Mus musculus: one gene and its partners. The protein of the gene in region 3 purifies or fractionates together with the protein of the main gene of each other region. This does not show direct contact. Links are inferred from orthologs where the notes say so. Each region holds a gene or a part of one and is shown on either strand. Other genes may lie near its edges. The genes, in order: Dhx8, Rnps1 and Nkap.

Region 1 (4,312 bases), on a different chromosome or scaffold from region 3:
ACAGATATATTTAATATTACTAGTGAATGCAATAACTTCAACATTAGATTTGTATCAAATGCAAAAAACAAACAACATTTTACTACATATATCACATACGTACTAGAAAATTTAGCTTGATTGTCTAAATCCATTAACTTCGAAAGCCTCACCAAGCAGTGTGCTGGTGAAGGAGGGGAGGGAGACTATCAGCCCTCATTTGAATGTCTCAGAATTCGATTAGAGCATTCTCTTGCTTAGCAACAGCTGAGAGCAAAGTGCAGTTCACAGGGATGCCACCACCCAGCCCCTTCTGGAGGCTCTGCTCAGCTGGAGCCCTCCTTACCTTTACTGGTAGAAGGCTTTGCAGGAGGCCGCATGGTCTGTATGAGACGCAGGAGGTTGCTAATAAGAGAATCCTACAAAGAAAAGAAGCACAGACATAGCACGTCAGCCTCTGGATCTGGCTCAATATTACAATAGGATATGCTGTAGGGAAGTGTGCTTATGCCCTCAATGTGTGCTGACTAGACAAGAAAGCACAGAATGTCAGCCTGGGACAGCAGGAAGCTAAGTTAGACCAGAGGTTCTCAGCCTGTGGGTCACAACCCTTTTAGGAGTCACCTAAGACCATCAAAAAACACAGATATTTACATTATGAGTCATAACAGTAGCAAAATTAGTTATGAGGAAGTAACAAAACATAAATGTATAGTTGGGAGGCACCACAACATGAGGAACTGTATTAAAAGGTTGCAGCATTAGAAGGCTGCAGACCACTGGCTTGGACGATACCCAGAGACCATTTCTTCCCATCTTTTAAAATTGTCTCCAAACCCTAGACTATTATTGCTCCTGACGTCATTTTTCATTTGTTTGTTGGTTTTTTGAGACATGATTTCTCTTGTGTAGCCCTGGCTGTCCTGGAACTCACTCTGTAGACCAAGCTGGCCTCAAACTTAGAAATCTGCCTGCCTCTGCCTCCCAAGTGCTGGGATTAAAGGTGTGGGCCACAACTGCCCGGCTTGTCCCTGACGTCCTGATTCACAGAACAAGAATGTCAACATCAGGGGCTGGAGAGATGGCTCAGGGGTTAAGAGCACCAAATGCCCTTCCAGAGGTCCCGAGTTCAATTCCCAGCAACAACACATGGTGGCTCATAACCATCTGTAATGGGATCTGATGCCCTCTTATGGTGAGTGTCTGAAGACAGCTACAGTGTACTCACATAAATAAGATAAATAAATCTTTAAAAAATGTAAGTGAAGAAAATATCTAATAAAAAATTAAAAACAAACAAACCAACAACAACAACAAAAGAATGTCAGCATCCTCAGACTTACTGCCGGAAGTCCTGCGGCATTCTCCTAGGACAGTGGGGAAGGAATCTGGCTCCCTGGCCAGCAACGCAACTTTACACATTTGATGGCTTATTTACTTGATATGCACAAATCGCTCCTTCCTACTTAAAAATCCTTTAGTGCGATCAAAATTTAAATTCAGTAGCAACACCAAAGAAACAAAAAGGAAACAAAGAATCTTCAGATATACATACTGTGAATTCTGCACCATTTTTGACCAGAGAAGCCTTAAAAGTATCAAAGGTAGTATTTTTCTCAGCAAGACTGATGACAAATTCAGCTGTTAAAAAAAAAAAAAGGAATTATAAATGGACTCAGATAATAATTAAATTATAAAAGAACTCAGGAATCCGCCTGCCTCTGCCTCTCAAGTGCTGGGATTAAAGGCGTGCGCCACCACTGCCCGGCTTTGTCGTCGTTTTTTGTGACGGGTCATACCCTGATACATACCATGCCCAAGCTACCCTCAGATTATCTACGTGTGACTTTGGAATTACTAATCATTCTGCCCTCACATCCCAAGCCTGAGATCCTAGGCGCCTGCCTGGCTGTCATTTACTTTTGAGGACATTCTGAAAAAGCCCAACACCACCCAACCCTGTACCTATCAAACGGAAGTGTTCCCCTCATGCTTCTAATTCACATACTCGGCCTCTCATTTTCACAAGGGCTCCGGCTATGCATATAATTACGATCTGGGCCCCGAGCCTTTCTTATTTTCTCTCTGGGTCCCCTAGTCACAGTTTGCCCTTAAACATCTAATGACTAGTATGTGAGAGATAAGAAGATGTAACTAATTTAAGAGCACGGCTCAAAGCACAAGCTCGAAGTAGATGCTGACTACTGCCTGACTGTGCGAAGACCAAACAAGATAATGTAGATGAAGAGCTACCCATAATATCTTGTGAGCTTCTAAAAATTACTGGCCGTAATTACAACCATCATCTTCGCGGGGGCTGCTGCTGCTGCTATTGTTAAAGCTATTTCGCCCCCCAGAACTGAAAAACAACAATCGAGCAGAAATTGCTGCCCCAGCCTTCACCGGCAGCTCACAGAAATGGTTTCTAATAGCTCGGACCGGATGGTTCTCAAGCAGAGGCCACCGCCACAGGTTCCCGGAGCCCAAGTCACGATGACACACACACAGACACAGACAGACAGACACACACACACACACCATCAACCGCTTCTCTCCTGCCTCCCTCACCCCCAAAATCAAAAGCCATCGGGACCTTCCTCCAGCTCACCCAGATCCTTGTCGTTGATGCCCAAGTGATTGTCCAGCTCCGTGCAAACCTTCGACACCAAAGACAGGTACTCAAGTTTAGCGAGTTCTTCCGCCGGGCCGGGCTCCGAGCCCATTAGGACCCCGGCGGCGGCCACGGCTACAGCCATGGCTACAACTTCCCTTTGGTCTCCTTCCGGCCGGCCAGAACGCGAAGCCACAGCTTCCACTTCCGGGTCGGCGCTCGTCTCTTTTGTTTACAGGGACGTCAAGTAAAGTTAACCGTCTTTGTAAGGATCAGCGAGATCTGGCAGGAAGTTCCCACAGACGGGCCAGACGCACTGAGTTACGCTGTTCGTTCAGTGGCGGCCTCTAGCGGGGGGGAAGACTCCACCCGCCTTTAGGTTTTTTTAAGGATCAATCTCAGCGCGCCTCTGTGATCCGTCAGCAGAGGGCGACCGTGGCCTGCGCGACTGAACAGCGCCTCGGAAAAGCAAGTTGGCTTGTCCTTGATCAGCTCAGTTCCTGACCTCATGGCAAGTGATCTCAAGTGACCTTACACCAGCAGACGCTAGATTCTGGCTGCTTATCTGTAAACTCGGATAATACGGTCTAAATGAAATAGATATGCAAAGTGGCTGAGCCACAGTAGGCACACTGAAAATATTAGTTGCTGTTATAACCCCCCCAAACTGCGAGTGGTCCAGCAAAGCTTATCTCAAGCATTCCTGTTGCCAAAACCCTCAGTCCTCTTAAAATCTGCTTCTCTAAATGTCAGCTGTGTTGTGAACCTGAGGTCATAAATTCAGGTGTCCCAACTTTTACTTTTCCCTTTGGCAGAACCTTGCAATGAAGATGAAGGGTTTCCCATGTCTTAGTATTCTGTGTAAAAAACAAGAAAATACTTCCTCTAAGGTGAGTAGCCCTCCCATCAGTCAAAAGACAGAAAATGAGCCCCCTCTGCTACTGTTGGCTGACTCTGTTGCACTACTGTGTCTTTGAATTATTGGGAACACTTCAGTGATAACGAGTTGCAGGGAAGCTGGGCAGGCTGGTGCTCTCCTTTAATTGAAGCACTCGGAGGGCAGAAACAAGCTGTTCTCTGAGACTGAAGTCAGCCAAAGTTACACAGTGAGAACCTCTCTCAAAATTGCAGGCAAAGGACTATCACAGTAGTTCCGTGTTTCCAGGTTCCCAAGGATTTAGTACATTGCCATCTGAGTTCCTGATGCCCTTCCCTTCCTTATAACTTACTTGTTTTTATTTCCTATACATGGTTTTGCCTGCATTCATGTCTGTGTAAGGATGTCAGATCCCCTGGAACTGGAGTAACAGATAGTTGTGAGCTTCGGTGTGAGTGCTGGAAATTGAACCCAGATCCTCTGGAAGAGTGACCAGTGCTCAGAACCATGAGCCATTTCTCCAGGACTCACTCCTTCCTTCCTTCCTTCCTTCCTTCCTTCCTTCCTTCCTTCCTTCCTTCCTTTCTCCGTGAACAGAATGAGAAAGTCTGCCCTTGATGCTGCTTGCTTATCTGCCAGTATGGAGTTAGGTTTCAGGAGTTAATTCCACTTGACCCTTCTTTCTCTACATCTCCTTGCTACTAAAACTTCATATTTCTATCCAGCTGCACTTTTAACACTTAACAAGAAGAAAGGACAAAGAGATTGGGAGCTGTTTTTTAAAGCTCTATCAGAAAAGACTCTAAATTGGACATGGCTGCACTCGATTTTAATCCCAGTACTTG
Region 2 (3,644 bases), on a different chromosome or scaffold from region 3:
CCAAGACAGGTGCAGTTTCTAGATTTTCCTGCTACTGTGGATCTGGATGTAAAACTCTTAGTTACCATGTCTGCCTGTGTGCCACCATGCTCTCTATCATGAGGATAATGGACCTCTGAAACTGTAAGCCTGCCCCAATCCTTTATAAGAATTGCCTTGGTCATGGTGTCTTTTCACAGAAACAGATCACTAAGACTATCATCCCTGATTCAGAAACCAAACTAAGACCCCTTCAAATCTGTGTCTATTTTACTTCTGTGGGGCATGCACCAGGGCAACACACATAGAGTTAGAGACTAACTTGTGGGAGATGCCCTTCTCAGCTCCTGCCTTGTGTATTCCGGGGAAGGGCAGTCTGGTTGATGGGCTGGGCAGCGAGCACCCTCACTGACTCAGACATCCTGCCCACCCTCTAACTTTTATTCACTTTCTTTCATGTCTTTTTGTTTGTTTGTTTTGTTTTTCGGGACAGGGTTTCTCTGTATAGCCCTGGCTGTCCTGGAACTCACTCTGTAGATCAGGTTGGCCTTGAACTCAGAAATCTGCCTGCCTCTGCCTCCCGAGTGCTGGGATTAAAGGCGTGCGCCACCACGCCTGGCTCTCGTGTCTTTTTGAGACAGGCTCACACGCAGCCCACCATGACCTCAAATTTCCGACTATCCTGGTACAAATACATGTGCATGTACCACTGCACTTCCCCTCACTTGTGTGTCACTGTGCACATTGGAGGTTAAAGGACAAACCACGGGAGTTATCACATGCCACCATGTGGGTCCCGGGAATTAAACCCAGGCTGTTAAGCTTGGCAGCAAAGACCTTTACCTGCTGAGCCATCTTGTCAGCCCAAACTACTTTTCTAGTAACTACTGTAATGAGCAGGCTAGCCATTCTGAACTCACTTGGAGCGGGAGCGCCGCCTGTTGTCATGCCTGCGCCGAGAAGGGCTTGGGGAGCCGGAGGAGCTGCTAGAACTGGAGCTCCGGGACGTGCTGGAGCTTCCTGAGCGGCTGGATGCAGAGGACGAGCTGGAGCCACTGCTTGAGCCTGTGCTGGTGCTGGAGCCCGAGCTGGAGGTGGAGCTGGACCTAGACCTGAGGACAAGGTGGGGGTGTCACAGAGTCAATGAGCAAGAGTCCTATTTCTGCACAGAAGACTGACTGCTCAGTAGAGGATATCGCTCTCCTGGTTCTTACTCAGAAATCTGCCCGCCTCTGCCTCCTAAGCACTAAGACTAAAGGCATACGCCACCACTGCCCGGTGCTTTCCTGCTTAAGCCCCATTTCACCAGTAATGACATCTGACAAGTCCCAACACCGTATGAGATGGGCTGTTGTTACCTACACAGAATCCTTATTTTTACCAATGAGGAAAAAGCAGCAGCCTAGCAAAAATCAGATCAACAGGGCTGAAGACCAATTCAGGCAGGTTTTCAACTTAAAAATAAAAAGAAAGAGGGGCTGCAGAGATGGCTCAGAGTTTAAGAGCACTAACAGTTCTTCCAAGGTCCTAAGTTCAATTCCCAGCAACTACATGGTGGCCCACAAACATCCACAATGGGATCTGATGACCTCTTCTGGTGTGTCTGAAGACAGTGACCGTGCACATTAAAATAAATACATAAATAACATAAAAATAAATACATCTTAAATAAAAAAAGGAGCAGACTGGGAGCTGAAAAATGTCTCTGCAGGTAAGAGGAACCAGGTTTGGTTTCTAGCACCCACATGGCAGCTCACAACTGCCTGTGACTCTAGTTTCTGGGGACCCAATGCACCTTTCTGGCCTGTGTGACAACCAGGCACACACATGGTATGCATGTATAAACACAGTTTAAAAAAAAAAAAAAAGGCTCCAGCCTGAAGCCAGTCATTCTCATTTCAGGATGAATACATACTTGCAAGAGAAACAATTCATCCATTATCCAAACATCACACTTTAGTATCATAGGAGAGTTTATATCCACAAACACACATTACACAGCAAGACCACATAACATATATAATGAAACAAAACCTGCATGCTATATTAGGGTCTTATCAACAACTCTAGGGTCTGTTTTCAATGTAGTTAAGACAACGTAGTCTTCCCTTGGGCAACCAGCTCAATTCAATTGGCAAGCTGCAGGAAGCAATGAAATCCTGTATGGAAAAGCTAGGCAGACAGCTCTTAGGGAGCCACACATACAGGACTACCCTCGCAGAAAAGTTGCTGTCATTCTCACTTCAACTGGGCTTGCTCACTAACGATCATCACACTGGGCTTGTCTCTCTTGGAAGGGACAGGGTCAAGGGACCCTCACTGGAGTATCCAGCCACCCCTCCAAACCAGTTGTAATTCTGCCCTATTTGCACAGGTCCTCAGGTCTCAGGCAAAGGCTTTAAGTAGGGGACTGTGGGGAGGGAACATTCACAGGGCAGTTACCACCCACATTCCTGCCAATTATCCTTCACCCACTGCACTGGAAGCCTGGTAAACTCACTGATTTCCTAGAGTGAACTTTGCTGAACTGGACCTAGGTTTGTTTGTTTGTGGGAACATGGAAGAGCAGATGGCCTTCACACCTCCCCAAAGGAAGAAATTTAACATACTTTTGGCCTTCACAACACACACGTGTCACCCCTTTCCCCCAAAGAAGTTCTTGGAGGGCTTCACAGTGAAGGAAGACATGGTTCCCTCTGCCCCACCTGGTACTGCTGCTTCCGCTTGAAGCACTGCGTCTCTTCCGAGTCTTATCTCTGCCACGATCCTTCTCACTTGACTCTTTAGTGGCCCCTTTATCTTTAGATCGATCCTTGGACTTCTCATCAGATCGGTCCTTGCGTTTGGTAGGAGAAGGAGCCCTGCATGATAAGATAGAATGTGAGGTTGCAAGCCCTTCTGACCAAACCCTGAGATAGCACAACCCAGTAGTGCGGTCCAAAAGGATTACTAACATCCCAGGTGATCACAGAGCAAAATCATCTGTGAATTAGGGCACGCACTGTAGAACAACAACAACAAAAATCTCCCCTTTCCTAGGGTCCTTAAACAGCAAGCACCCCCAAAATAGCACTAGAAAAAAATCTTACAGAGGATTACCTAGTGCTGGACTTTTTATTATTCTCTTTGACTCCTAGCAAGCTCTTCTTTTTCACTCCTGATAAATCCATTCTCCCCTTCTTCAAGGCAGCAATGTCGGCCTCACTTATCTGAACTCTCACTTCTAACTTGAGTCTGAGAAACGATCCCTAATCGATTGCAATTTACGCCAAAGAGCAGCCTAGTAACAAGATAAAAGGATTGAAATAGAGCAAACCAATTGACAAAGCATCAACTCTATTTTGCATCAAAGACCGTTGAGCACACAGGACAGAAGCACAGCAAACAGCAAGTGTCCACACAGCCTTGACACCCAGGGCCCTCATTAGCGCGCCATGGAGGCCTTTCCTACTCTTAGAGGCCACCTTAGGTTTTTTATTTGAGAAAGAAAGGCAAAATGTATTACATGTCTAAGGTACAGGCATATTAAGATTCTTCTTTGTTTTCCTTAATGAAGTGGGAGAGGTAATTGTAGCTACATTTGGTTTTTTAGGGCCTGTCCCACACTAGAGTTCACCAAGTTTGATGATGAACCAGCCACCTGTAGATGGCTTTCAAAATATTAG
Region 3 (4,200 bases):
CATAGTGACCTTGTCTCAATCCCCTCCACCCAAAAATAAATAAAATAAAAATAATTCTTTGAAGAAAATAATTAGCCTGAATTCCTTAAAGTTTGATGGCTTATGACTCACTTTTAAAAGTTACTACTGGGCTGGAGAGATGGCTCAGTGGTTAAGAGCACTGACTGCTCTTCCGAAGGTCCTGAGTTCAAAACCCAGCAACCACATGGTGGCTCACAACCATCTGCAATGTGATCTGACGCTCTTGTCTGGTGTGTCTGAAGACAACTACAGTGTACTCATATACATAAAATAAATAAATCTTTAAAAAAAAAGTTACTACGAAAGACCTATAATTGGCTTTTCTTTTTTTTAACATTTTTGATCATGAAAAAGGGTATTGATAACTACACAGAGAGAGACTTGGAGAATTTTGTATTTGGCCAAAATGGATAATTTAGAAAAGGGGTACAACTGTTTGTGGCTTCTGGGGGAAGAATGCCTGCCCAGCCATAAAGAGCACAGAAGTCTCATGTCTATTGCTCCTGTAATATGTTAAAATTTCTTATTTTAAAACACAAAGTCTAAGGCCTAGTACCATGCCTAAGACATAATTTTAATAGACAGAATAAACTTCATATCACCTAAAAGTACAAATGCAAATCTCATCCAATCACTTAACATTCCAGTAAATCCTTTACTCCTCTGAAACTGGATCTCATAGGACAGGGTCTAGCTAGTCTTCAACTCCTAGTGGTTCTGACCCTCTCTCAAGTGTTGGGATTAGAGACATGATCCTGGCTCAGCATTTGCTTTTCAACTGACACACTCCATGGGTACCATCCCAGAGGTCTCTAACAGATCAGGACTGTTTCACTTATGGATGTTATTACACCCTTAAAAGCCTTGTTACTGATTTCCCTGTCCCTTGTGGGCCGCTGCTCCAACTCGGGGCCTCGGGTTTGCTAGGCAAGCATTCTTCCCCTGAGCTCAGCTCCAGCTTCTGCGGATTTTTAATGATGAAGAAGCGAAGCTAGGAAAGGTCTCACTTGCCCAAGACCATCCTGCTTCACCACAAACAAAACCTTCACACTCAGGCAGGGCAATGCGGAAACTTGCCCTTTTTTTTTCTTATACTGTATTTCTTCCCCTGCTGGGGGAGGAAAAAAAAACATGAAGCATCTCTCAACTGTTGGAAAGTTAACTTGCCCCTCGATGCCTGTAATACTTGAAATTTTACCATTTTGAAACACATGGTACAGGGCCTAAGACCTAATTTTTAACAAGCATAATAAACTTCATACATATCAGATACTATGACTAATGCAGCAACATGAGCCTCTCTCAGGATATCACTCTACCTCAGGCCTACCTTGAATTAACTCTGTAGTACAGGCTGGCCTCGAATTACTTGTGACAGTCCTACCTCGGCTTCCTGAACGCTAGGATTACAGGAGTGAGACATCATGCATGCCCAGCTTTTGAATTTAAATATGTCTTGAGGCATGGCCTCATGTAGACCAAGGCGGCCGTAAATTTGCTACGTCGATGAGAATGAGTGTTCTGACTTGCCTCAAGAGTCTCACAGTTGTTGCTACTAAAGATTTGTGAGTCTTTTTAAACTAAGAATTCCATTAGAGGAAATCCAATCTCATTCCCACATTGGTTTGCATGGTCAACACGGCTGAGACCACTTGCCAAGACTTTTCCCAACATAGCCTCATCTAATTATTCTTTTCCCTCAAAACCAATACATATACTTAATTACAATACTTCCCAGTTCACTGCAAAACGTTTCCACTGAAATATCCTCTTGTCTCAATTTTTTCTGTTTGTTCATGCAACAAGAAACAGCTGCCATGCCTACCAAGAGGCAGGCACTACTAATTCTGTGATCAATAAAAGTCACAAACCTCTATTTCCGTTTAGTGAGGAATAAAGACAGGTGCACGGATAATGACACCAAGGCATACAATAGCCTCTTACTTTCCCAGTAGGGGTAAGTAGGTAGTGGGAAACCAGGGCCTCTTATGAAGGAGTCTAGGGATGAATGAAAATGTAAGTTAGAAAGGATAAATAAAAAAGGTCACGGGGTGAACTGAAGAAAGAGATGAAAAAGGTGCGAGGCGGATGGGAAGCGAAATAAAACAGAAACAATGAACAAGCTGGACTCAAAGGCAGGCAGAATGACCCAAGAGAGGGTGCGGCGATTTCACTCACTTCTGCCGGAGACTCTCCTCCCTTTCCTTGTCCAGCAGGCTAGGCCATGGCTTGTCGCCCCCGTAGGGACGCGAGTAGCCGCCGTAATAGGCGGACGAGGATGCAGAAGCAAACGGGGCGCTCCGCTGTGCCGAGGGCCGTTCGCGAGAGCGCGATCGAGAGCGGGAGCGGTAAGATTGGTTTCGGGAGCTTTGGCTGAAGCCACTCAGCGAATGACTGAGGCCATTCCGGTCGCCGAACCGAGAACAAGAGCGCGAGCGAGACCGGCGACACCGCGGGGAGCGGGAAGATTTGATGGATTTGGGGCTCCGCGATGGACTGCGACGCTTCGCCCCGGAGGCCTCCCGTTCAGGGCTACGCGAGCCCGATACAGGAGCCATGGTGGGGGAAGCTGAAGCTACCAAGGGGCGGGACAAGGAGGCGCTCTCGCGACCCCCAAAGGTCCCGGACACCTAGGGTCCTAGAGCTTGCAGCCGACCAAATCCGAAAAAAAGCAAGCAAACAAACAAACAAACAAAAAAACCAACTTGGAAACAGTTCCGTGTACAGCGGTAAACCCCTTCCCCCGGACCCAGAGTCCTTGCCGCCAACAGGAAGGGATTTGTGTACCTCTATATAGAAGCCGGCCAGGAAACTGAGGCTACGCTCTCATCCAGTTCCTAGTGAGGTTTCTGAAACCTAAACCGCACTGGATGCCTGAAAGAACATTGCGATGAATGAGACAAGTATTTCATTGAGTAGCCATATAAGCAACACCGCCAATTCTCCCTTTATTTAGTGTGGGACGATCTTTGCCTGTATAGTGTGCGCGTATGAATCTGTGTATGTATTATAACCCCCACTCCCACTCTTTTTTTTTTAATCCCAAGCAAACAAAAGATCATGATTAGGGTTAAGCTTTAATCTAAGATCATTGTTGTCCAGTTCACTTAGAAAGCATACATTCTGATAACTTCAGTCTGTTATACTCCGATTAATTTAGCGACCCAGAGGAAAATCTTAGTACGTAGGTTCAAGCCACCCATCTCTACAAATGTCCCACAAAACGAAGTTATCAAGCCCCTTCAACTAGTCCATCATACACTAGCCCAGCAAAATATAAGGTAGACGATTAATAGTTGTATGTATTAAGTATTTTTAGGCAAAAGAGCATTCAAATATTAATTTTGTTTTTAATTTTTTTGAAATTGAAATGTAATTGTGTCATTTTCCCCTTTCTACCTCCAACCATTCCTGCGTGCCTCCTCTTGCTCTTTTAAACTCATTGCCTCTTTTTCTTTATTTGTCATTACATGTACCTGTAACTATAGCTGTTGTAATGTTTTCACCAGAGAAGACTACTTAGATATGGGTTTTAGCCAATAGAAAGTCACACACGCCGGGGCGGTGGTGGCCCATGCCTTTAATCCCAGCACTTGGGAGGCAGAGGCAGGAGGATTTCTGAGTTCAAGGCCAGCCTGGTCCACAGAGTGAGTTCCAGGACAACCAGGGCTACACAGAGAAACCCTGTCTCGAAAAAAAAAGTTGCGCGCGCACACACACACACACACACACACACACACACACACACACACACGTCCTGTGTTGATATACTTCAGTTAACAAGAACATGTCCAAAAGTGAAACTACAGAAGCCAACAGGGAAGGTCAGTACCTTTAGGAATATTCCCAGAACTATGTACTTTGATCTTTTGTCTTTTGTTTTGGCAGGTGATACTGTCTACATGCTGAATGTTGCAGCCTGAATGGTACTTCCATCATGGAGTCAGTTGTGCTAAGGTCTGGGGACCTACTAAGGTCTAGAGCCCTGTTACAATAACCTGCTCAGAGCATATATTAACCGTATGTTTATGATTTCAGGACCGACCATTTGGTATTGGATAATCAGCTGAGGGAAGACTATTTCTCCTGGCTCTCAGCATTACCTAGTTGCCTGTAGTTCTTTGTCTAGGGTTAGAGCCTCGTGAGATTTTCCCATAATCTATCTTCTGGTGTCATCCT

The links.
Region 1: the proteins of Nkap (region 3) and Dhx8 purify together in Homo sapiens (co-immunoprecipitation; 3 studies listed by BioGRID and IntAct, with this or other methods). This does not show direct contact. The link is inferred for Mus musculus from reciprocal best matches to the Homo sapiens genes NKAP and DHX8.
Region 2: the proteins of Nkap (region 3) and Rnps1 purify together in Homo sapiens (co-immunoprecipitation; 3 studies listed by BioGRID and IntAct, counting the BioPlex papers as one, with this or other methods). This does not show direct contact. The link is inferred for Mus musculus from reciprocal best matches to the Homo sapiens genes NKAP and RNPS1.

Annotation. Positions count from the first base shown.
Region 1 is NC_000077.6:101,731,464-101,735,775, reverse strand, and holds the start of Dhx8 (ATP-dependent RNA helicase DHX8), read right to left. Parts: upstream 2,821-4,312; 5' UTR 2,736-2,820; coding exon 2,588-2,735; intron 1,621-2,587; coding exon 1,535-1,620; intron 399-1,534; coding exon 326-398; intron 1-325.
Region 2 is NC_000083.6:24,417,653-24,421,296, reverse strand, and holds part of Rnps1 (RNA-binding protein with serine-rich domain 1), read right to left. Parts: intron 3,260-3,644; 5' UTR 3,150-3,259; coding exon 3,079-3,149; intron 2,841-3,078; coding exon 2,685-2,840; intron 1,092-2,684; coding exon 900-1,091; intron 1-899. UniProt on the Homo sapiens protein: Part of pre- and post-splicing multiprotein mRNP complexes. Auxiliary component of the splicing-dependent multiprotein exon junction complex (EJC) deposited at splice junction on mRNAs.
Region 3 is NC_000086.7:37,125,375-37,129,574, reverse strand, and holds the start of Nkap (NF-kappa-B-activating protein), read right to left. Parts: upstream 2,813-4,200; 5' UTR 2,580-2,812; coding exon 2,200-2,579; intron 1-2,199. UniProt on the Homo sapiens protein: Acts as a transcriptional repressor. Plays a role as a transcriptional corepressor of the Notch-mediated signaling required for T-cell development. Also involved in the TNF and IL-1 induced NF-kappa-B activation.